2 linked regions of the Arabidopsis thaliana genome follow. The protein of the gene in region 1 interacts with the protein of each later gene in a pairwise test. Each region holds a gene or a part of one and is shown on either strand. Other genes may lie near its edges. The genes, in order: CZF1 and AT4G37180.

The links.
Region 2: the proteins of CZF1 (region 1) and AT4G37180 interact in binary tests that used the Arabidopsis thaliana proteins (3 or more experiments, as listed by UniProt).

What each region holds. Positions count from the first base shown.
Region 1 is NC_003071.7:16,770,212-16,775,411, reverse strand, and holds CZF1 (zinc finger (CCCH-type) family protein), read right to left. Parts: upstream 3,416-5,200; 5' UTR 3,159-3,415; intron 2,884-3,158; 5' UTR 2,876-2,883; coding exon 1,082-2,875; 3' UTR 678-1,081; downstream 1-677. UniProt on the Arabidopsis thaliana protein: Involved in salt stress response. May positively modulate plant tolerance to salt stress.
Region 2 is NC_003075.7:17,502,882-17,507,316, forward strand, and holds AT4G37180 (Homeodomain-like superfamily protein), read left to right. Parts: upstream 1-1,682; 5' UTR 1,683-1,766; coding exon 1,767-1,992; intron 1,993-2,063; coding exon 2,064-2,245; intron 2,246-2,335; coding exon 2,336-2,651; intron 2,652-2,765; coding exon 2,766-2,842; coding exon of another isoform or gene 2,843-2,899; exon of another isoform or gene 2,900-2,935; coding exon 2,936-3,226; 3' UTR 3,227-3,623; downstream 3,624-4,435. Other genes in the region: AT4G37190 (plasma membrane, autoregulation-binding site, misato segment II, myosin-like, tubulin/FtsZ protein), read left to right, coding at 4,274-4,345.

The sequences.
Region 1 (5,200 bases):
ATAGGAGAAAAGAAGATGGGGATTATTAAAGATTGAGAACAGTGAGTTAAAGAGCCAAGCCTAATTGGTGGACACAGAATTTTCTATAATTTGCCCTTTACAATTTTAAATGTAAAACTCTCTCTTCACATTCATTCATAGACTTAACTAATTATGGAGTTTGGCAAAGAAAGAATAAAGTTAGTCGTTTCTTTTTAAATTGATTAATGAAAGTATGCAGCTTGTGATTATATTCCTAACTTTATTTTGAGGGTCGCACGACTTAAACCAGCGACTTTTTCCTCATCCATTTTAGAAGAATTCTATTCGATAGTTCAAAATTGAGTCTTGAAATTGTTTCGGGTATTTAGCATTAACACACATCGATAACACCGGAAAAGTAAAGATTTTATGCGACATTATCACATGGTATGGTATTTTTCTGTGAAATAAAAAGTAGACCACATGTTACATGCTTTTCTTAACTCTACTATTAACGATGCTACTCTACTGATCTTTTTTCCTTCGATAACCTGAAAGAAAGATAGTGCACTGACCGTTTCTACTAGAAACCAATTAGGTATGAGTTTTTACTTTTTAGTGTCCTACACGATAGAAATTATGGACAAAATTTGACTTTGGGTAGGTTTCTTTGTAATCAGGGGTCGTTAATTAAAATTTGTGGAAATCTTTTTGAATCTAGATAAGAAAAGATTTTCAATAAATAATAAGCTGCAAGTTGTATATGTGAGGAAAATAACAAGCCAAAAAAGCTCCCCAAAATCTCTTAGGCCCATTTTTTCTAAAGCACTTGAAATACGTAACCAATAAGATTAAGATATCACAACAATTACAAAGCTAATAAGATGGATCCTTCAAAGAACATTTGAACTCATGCATCAATTATTTGCTTTTAATCATTACATAGTGTCACGAAGGACAAGAGAATGACAAAGAAAAAAAGAACATAAAAAAACATATACTAGTAACCAAACTATGGGTCAAACACAAATCAAAGAATTATTGCCAGATTTGTTAGATTCTGTGTAGAGAGGCCCAGAAGACAAAAGCAATATAAATCCCACATCTTTCTTTCTGCTTCTTATGCCACAATCTGCTGCTCATGGTCTATATACATTTGCTCTGCCCACGACGGCAGCTTAAACTTGTCTCTACTCGCTGCACCATTCACCGTATTCCCAACCCTCTCATTCACTCTCTCTGGTGCATTCTCTTTCACCAGTGAGTTCACCCACGACACATCTGGCTCGTCACTGTAGTCTCTAGCAGGGCGTGACACACTGTTGTTGTTGTTTCCATGAATGCCGAAGGAGGCACTTCTCCTCAACTTGTTCAGCTCATCTCTTTGCATTCCCCACTCAAGCTTCCCATTTGGTGATCCCCAATCGGAGACATTAGAAGCTACTGGAGCTGGTTTGAAACTCAAGCTGCGTTTCGCAAACGCTGAGGATCTTGCATTCATCACTGCAGCTGCCATGGCTGCTGAAGATTCGAATCCATGAGGAGGAGGCTGCCTCACAGGTGAAGACGGATAGTGGTTCATCTGAGAATGCCTGCTTGGTGATTGAAGTTGCATCACAGAAGCTGAGTCATATGATCCGAAAGTCTCTTCGAGGTTGGATGGCTTGAGATCACCAAGTCTCCGGTTATCCAAACCGCGAAACCTAAGTTCCATCTCCATATCCATATCTCTAGCACTCAAAGTCGACTTCAATCTGCTACCATTAAGCTGCAACGGTGGTGGTGTAAGGCTATTAACTCTGTTCTGCCATAAACCACCATTTCTTGGAGACAAAGGAACACCATTAGCCATAGGAGAGTTCATTGGCGATGATCCCAGCGTCAAAGGAGACATAACAGACATCTCAGGAGACTGATTAGACGACCTTGGTGAAACCATTGCAGAACCAGTAGAAGCATTAACCGGTCTTAACTCATCCCGTCTATGAGCAAAGAAACAAACTCTCCTAGCACAACCAGTCTCATCTTTGCAAAGCCGTGTCCTATACTGCGCCGGGTGAAGCCAAGACTCGAAAACACCGTGCGCGTACTCACACGAATCTCCTTTAGGACAAGACCCTTTACGAAACTCGGGACAAGGCACACAAGTGTAAGGATACTTCCTAGGATCTCTCCTCCTTGCATTCTCACCAGGATGAACAAAAGGACATTCAGTCCAATCATGTGAATAAGCCCTAGAACATGGCTTAACCTTAAAGCTAAACATCCTAAAATCATCAGTTCCATAAACACCTTCGTTAATATCAGGAAGTGATGCATCAGCTGGATACTTAGTCACAACACTCTTCAGTTCCTCCTCCTCTTCTTCCATAACCGAACCATGAATCCCGGTCAGTAAAACCTCAACCGCCTTTCTACTCTGGTTAGGAACAAACCGAGAATCTTTAGCCAACAAATCAACCGGTTTGTTCCCATTAGCGTCAACACAATTAGGTGAAGCAGAAGCATCAAGCAAGATCTTGATGATCTCAACGATAGAAACAGAACAGCCAGAAACTGCACAGTGAAGAGCAGTGACTTTCTCGTCACTGCAAACTCTGTTCACATCGGATCTTCCTGTGGCAATTATGTAATTCAACACTTCCATGCTTCCATACATAGCAGCAACCATAAGTGGTGTTCTTTCTTCAAAACCCATCTTCTTAGACCCGACCCGTCTGCAATACCAAAACCCTGACTCATCAATCTCCACCGATGGATTCTCTTCGATCTCTCTCTTAAACGATGAAAGATCATCACAGGCGGCGAATTCGAGGAGACACGTGGCGGAAGCTCCGTCTTCTGATTTCTGCCTCATGAATTCGACTTCTGTTAGGGTTTTAGATGAGCAAAGGTTGCTCTTTGCACCGCACATATCTCTTCCTGTGATTCAAAAGTGAAAAACTTTTAGGAGAAAGCAACAAAGAATGAGAAAGAGCAACGCAAATTGAGTTCTTTCGATTCAAAGTTTCAATTTTTCATTTTCAAGATTCTTCTTTATACACAAAATCAATCCCCAATTTAAGCAAAGTAATGAATAATTACACGACCGTTTCGTCAAAATCAAGCCATTAAAACCATAAAGATTAAAGATTTAACCAAACCCAGAATCCTGAATGAAATAGGAAAAAACAGAGAGAGAAAGAATCAAGACATACCTAGAAAAGAAGATAACTTGGAGAAAAAGAGAGAAGTAAAGATTGAAACTTTGGAGGTTTTTGGGGAGAAGAAGTGGTTGGGGTTTTTGAAGAAGGATCAAATGAGAAAGGAGAGGCTCCTTTTAAAAGGAACTTGGTTTTTACGAAGAAGGAAAGAGGAAGGTACGCTCTTTCTTTCGTCTACCTTTCTCGGTCTTCTTCTTCCTTCTTTATATCATTTTTATTTTTTACTTATCTTTGTTTTGTTTTGTTTTTTGCTCTCTTTCTACATGGAAATGGTTTAGGTCAAAAGTCAAAACTGGGAAACTTTTAAAAAAGGTAAGGACGTCGTTGTTTTGCTGACTCTTATTCAATTGTTTTAGTGTATTTTTTTTGTCTTTTTTATAAAAAGAATATTATAATATCTATCTTCCTATCTCATTGATTTTTTCAATATGGCTTTTTAAAATGATCAAAAAGCAAAGTTCATTTGAAGGGAAATAAAACAATGCCCCCATTGTATCGACTTACATAAGAAAAAGTCTCATTCCGGATGTATTTATTGTTTCTAGATAACATCTTGTTTTTGGTTAAAGTTTCTAGATATAAGGATAATGTACCCATTTGGTTTATTTATAACCGAAACCATTGTTGGTTCTCTTTAGGACCTACTAAGTTCCTAATCAATTACTTTGTTTTAATTATACAAAGCAGAAAGAAAACTCAAAGGGAACTACTACCTTACCCATCCGGTAAACTCGTTTTAGGAGATCCATTTATACTCAAAAACCCTCATTAGAAAATAGCCCAAAATTTATATGTTGTTGATGTTACTATGCATTCTCTATATGGCTATAGATGTATGTGATATCAGATTATCTACATGCATTTAGCTGAATACATTACAGGAAATAGACTTACAATTACTAAATAGTTATGTATATCTATCTGGACAATTATAGGTCACATTTCAAAAGACATAATTTAAATTTTAACATCTGACCAAATCTACAGTTGTTTATATTTTACATCTGCATGCTGTTTTTCATATAAACGCATGGGTGCCCAAAACATGTATGGGCAAAGATCCTGAGATATTAAAAAATATTGTTTTTTTCCAAGTTCCAACAGGTCCTAAGGTATTAAAAACTATTTGTAACAAAATAAGATTAAAATAAAATTACTGTCAAAAATATTAAAAAGAAATTAAAAAAGAACATAATATTTTTTTTTTTCATCATCATCAAAAAAAAATTAAAAAAAAAAAAAAAAAAAAATATTATGTTCTTTTTCATCATCAAGAACATAATATATGAGGTTGAATAAATGGTAAATGACGTTGGGGATGTGTAAAAGACCCACCATCGATCAAATCGACCGACTTAGCAGGTAACCTCCACAAGCGTGTGAGTGTTTCAATACTCTTAACACGCGCTTTCATTATCACGTTGGCTACTCTTTTTTCTAAAGATCACTATAATTAACACACAACAATCTTAAATATATTTTACATGATCAATTAAAATATTTTTGGTTCGGTAGAACTACTATTCAAACAATACATACATACTTTAAAAGATTGGTACGAATCAAAATCTATTGGTAGTAAACAATTCGTAAATAGAGATCAACTTTATCTCAGTGTTCTTATTGATAAGCTTATCTTAATGGTCTTGTAGGTATAGTTGTAATGGAGTGATTAGGGTAAAGCGAGTGAGAAACACGGGCAAGGAGAAGTGCGTGGAGAAAGAGGGAAAGTGAGGCACGCCTTCTCTTCTTTGGTGTTTGGGTGGGCGACAGAGAATGTCTTCACTTGGCCGCCCGCTTACACTTTTTCCCCCATTTCCTTAATTGTTTGCTATCAAAAAATTAATGCAACACCTTTAACTTTTGCAAAAATATACTATAGTATATAGTATTAAATATTCACTTATTTTTCTCTCGTCACATCAAACATAATGGATTAGTCCGTGGATTTGATCATTTGACTTACTCCTCATTATTCTCTACTTTTCTTCGATTCTTCTATATATCTTCCGTGGAGTTTTCGTAGTCACAAATTT
Region 2 (4,435 bases), on another chromosome or scaffold:
ATTTCATATAATAATATTAAGTATAATTCACCTTTTGAACGATATAAGTTTTGATTAGTAAAAAAAATGGATGAGTAGTGGAATAATTTGCAAGAAATAATGGTGCTACATAAGAATGATCAACCTAGTTTCTTGAAAAGAATATCAACACTGAAATGAACAAAAATATTCATAATACGATAACCAAAACCAACTAAACCATGAAAAGGGCACTTATAAACACAAAGGTTACGTGATTTCTTGAAACTAATGCTCACCGTGAATGTAAATGGACGTTGCGTGTGGTAAAAATAAAGAAAAGACAAAGAGATCTTTTGACCACTTCACTCTTTTAAAATCACATACGTATGTGTCGATTTCTAATACAGCTAGTAGCTTGTGTTAGCAAAATTTAGTATAATTTTTTTCCGGGTAAAATGTTTAGTATAATTTTTTAGTAAAATTTAGCAAAATTTAGTATAATTTTTCTATTCGAAAAGATAAACTAAAGCGAATATGTCCTATACTAGTAAAGATTAATTATTTATACGGCTCTACTAATTTAGTCTAGTTATATGATAGTAGTACAAACTGAAGTACGAATTTATGTATCGTACTACTTGCATAAACGTACATGTGGTTTTGCCTATCTAAGAACATCGTTTAATTAAACCCGATTGTATAGTTTGAATGTTTTATCGGTTTTTAAACGAGTGGTTCGAATTCCATGAAACCGAGATTTCAGTATAGCTCTGTGTTTGAGATACAATAACAAATACATGAATCCATAGCCCATAGGCCATACACGGTTATGCCCATTCGGTATTGTTGGTCTAGCAAAGTTATTTCTGACGATGTGCTACATGTACTATGTGGTACATACCTTTTTTATATTCAACATTTAATCTCATATCATGTTGACTATAAATGTATAACTTTCAAGCTCATAACATTTAGGTTATAAAAAGTCAATATTTGTTGTAGTCTAAATCTTCTTTATTTCAAACGTAATTTTTTACTCCAAAAAAGTGTAACTTATCTACTTTTAATTGTTAAAGTAGGAAAATAAAATTTGATTTTTCTTTAAAAAAGTAGAAAATTGTTAATTTTGTACAAATAAATTTGATCTTTCTTAGTTATAGTTTGATTTTGTTAATTCCTTATTTTTAATTTTTTATCCAATAATTGAGTTGCTTTATTTTATTTTTAGTCTTTCAACAGATTCTTTTTATATTATCTTTAATAAATATTTTAGTGGGATATTTCACAGCCTGAACCACTCCATATGCAGAAAATAGTGTTTGTAAAATATTATAGATTCTTCAGAATCCTCTTTTTAAGACTAATTTGGGAAAATATTAAATACAGGATAACAGGAATATGAGAATCTTGAATGAGAAGAGCACTAAAAACAAAATAAATAACAAGTTTCCCAAAACTGAAAATTGTAATATAATTAATAGCCGAATTAAAAGGAAAAAAATCCTTAAAGAAAAATATAAAAAAAGAGAAGAATAAATATATATAAGTGAGTGTAACGATTCGCCGCGTGTGTACGGGCATCACAAAAAGATTCTTTCTTCCATTTAAAGATAAATCTAATTTTAATATTGACAAAAACACCCTCAAGTCTCCACTTATTTACAGCGGCTACGGTTCACCGCGTCCTTCTTCTTCTTCCCTAATCTCATTTTTTTTTTGTTCTCATTTATCTTCTTCAGCATCTTCATCATCTTCTTCTATATATACCTCTTTAAGCTTGCTTCTCTTTGTCTTTATCTTGTCCGATGGTTCAAACAGAAACCGATCAAAGGATGGGTCTTAATCTGAATTTGTCTATCTACTCTTTACCAAAACCCTTATCTCAATTTCTCGATGAAGTGTCGAGGATCAAAGACAATCATTCCAAACTGTCTGAAATCGATGGTTATGTCGGAAAATTAGAGGAAGAAAGGAACAAAATCGATGTTTTTAAACGAGAACTCCCTTTATGCATGCTCTTATTGAACGAAGGTATCTTTTATTAAAATTCTCTCCTTTTCTTTTTTTTATCTTCTCTAATCGATTCGTGTTTTTGTTTAAAGAGATTGTTTTTCTCTGTGTAGCGATTGGGGCGTTGAAGGATGAGGCTAGAAAAGGGTTATCACTGATGGCATCTAATGGGAAATTCGATGATGTTGAAAGGGCAAAACCGGAAACTGATAAGAAGAGCTGGATGAGCTCTGCCCAGTTATGGATCTCGAACCCTAATTCCCAATTCCGATCGGTACGATCAAAAAGCAACCCTTTTTATGTTTTGTGAAGAATCATATGTTGTGTGATTGATCTTGTTGACCTTATGATCATGTTTTGACAGACAAATGAAGAAGAAGAAGATCGGTGTGTGAGTCAGAACCCATTTCAGACATGTAATTACCCTAATCAAGGAGGGGTATTTATGCCATTTAACCGTCCCCCACCTCCTCCACCACCAGCTCCTCTGTCTCTCATGACTCCAACATCAGAGATGATGATGGATTATAGCAGAATTGAGCAGAGTCATCATCATCATCAATTCAATAAACCTTCTTCACAGAGTCATCACATTCAGAAGAAAGAGCAGAGAAGGAGATGGTCACAGGAACTTCACCGTAAATTTGTTGATGCTCTTCATAGGCTTGGAGGGCCACAAGGTTAGTCCTTAACCTTAGTAAAGGATCAAACTTTGCTTTAGATTTGATTGATTGATTATACTGAGATTGTTTTGTATTGTTGTTGTTGTTGTTGTTGTTGTTGTTGTGAGACAGTTGCTACACCAAAGCAGATTAGAGATTTGATGAAAGTTGATGGTTTAACCAATGATGAAGTCAAGAGCCATTTACAAGTAAAAGTTCTCATCTTTTACAGTAACTTAAACTTTGATGTGTGGATGAATGAATGATTTTGACAGTGCGGTGAAATGAAATTGTTATTGCAGAAATATAGAATGCATATCCGTAAGCATCCGCTGCATCCGACAAAGACTTTGTCATCGTCGGATCAGCCAGGTGTGTTAGAGAGAGAATCGCAGAGCTTAATAAGTTTGTCGAGGTCGGATTCGCCACAAAGCCCACTTGTTGCAAGAGGGTTGTTCAGTAGTAATGTTGGTCATAGCTCAGAGGAAGATGAGGAGGAGGAGGATGAAGAGGAGGAGAAGTCTGATGGACGTAGTAGCTGTAGAAATGATGAAACAAAGAAGAAGAGACAAGTGTTGGATCTTGAGCTTTGAAAGTCTGCATAGTGAATGATATAATCTTTACCAACTTATGTTATATATGCTCAAAACTTTGAGTTTGTTCGGGAGTTTTTGTAGATGTAAACATGAGAGTTGAAATAAGGAAGAGGATTTTGAGCAAAAAGTAGGGTTTGTTTTTGCAAGAGGAAATAGATAGAGAAGAGTGTTCGAAATCCTCTGTGTTTTTTTTTTTTTTTTTTTTTTACTTCATAAGTAAGATAAACTCATATATCAAAGATTTTGTTTTTATACTTATTACAGTCTCAACCATGTGAATGAAGGAGTCATTTGTTTAGTTTTACCAGCTCGTCATACTAATTACCTTTTACCTTCGAAAACAGAGGATGAAGAAACATCACAATCTTTGTCTCTTTCTGTAACTCATCGTTTTCTACAAATCTACGTAATCTGAGAGAATAAGTAAGGGGAAAAAAAATAAGAATCTTTTATTGCATAAAATCGTACGAAAAGATAAGATTTTTCGTCTGAAAAACGACAAGATTTATTTTCACTATTGAAGGAATTGACAATGTATATAGAAAAAATCTACTCACTGATTAGTGATTTGATGAATAGTTTACTTCCACGAGATTTGCATGTTTTGTGGATAAAGCTTCTTGCACCATGTAACATACATTAGCCAATAGTATAGGGTAGATATTTATCTTTTGACATAATTTTCTTCAAATTTGTTATTTTTATTCAAAAATTCAAATAGTTACTCTCTGCTTTTCACAATTAATGAGTGTATATACTAAAGACATTTAAGCGGCAATGGAATATTTGTTCAAATTGGTTCGGTCGATTCAGTTTCTAAACCCAACCGGTTTATTCACCCGGTTATTTCGAGTCAATTTATGTGGTTTTGTGGTCTCTGGGCCTCACGGGGCCGCCTCTCCGTCTTCATCAACATTCTCAAACTCTTTTACAAATCTAGGCTCGACGAGGGTTTAAGCAATCACCGGAGCTCTTAGTCTCTTACGCTGTGAGCTAAGAACCGACCTTTTGCTTAGTTTCTTTCAAGTCTCCAATCAAACAACCATGAGAGAAATTGTGACGATTCAAGTTGGAGAATTCGCAAACTTTGTTGGCTCTCACTTTTGGAATTTCCAGGTTAGAGAAGCAAAACCTCCTGTTGAACTCTCTGCTCCGATTCTTTTAACAATGGATTCTGGGTTTTGTCTGTCTCTGTTTTTCATTACA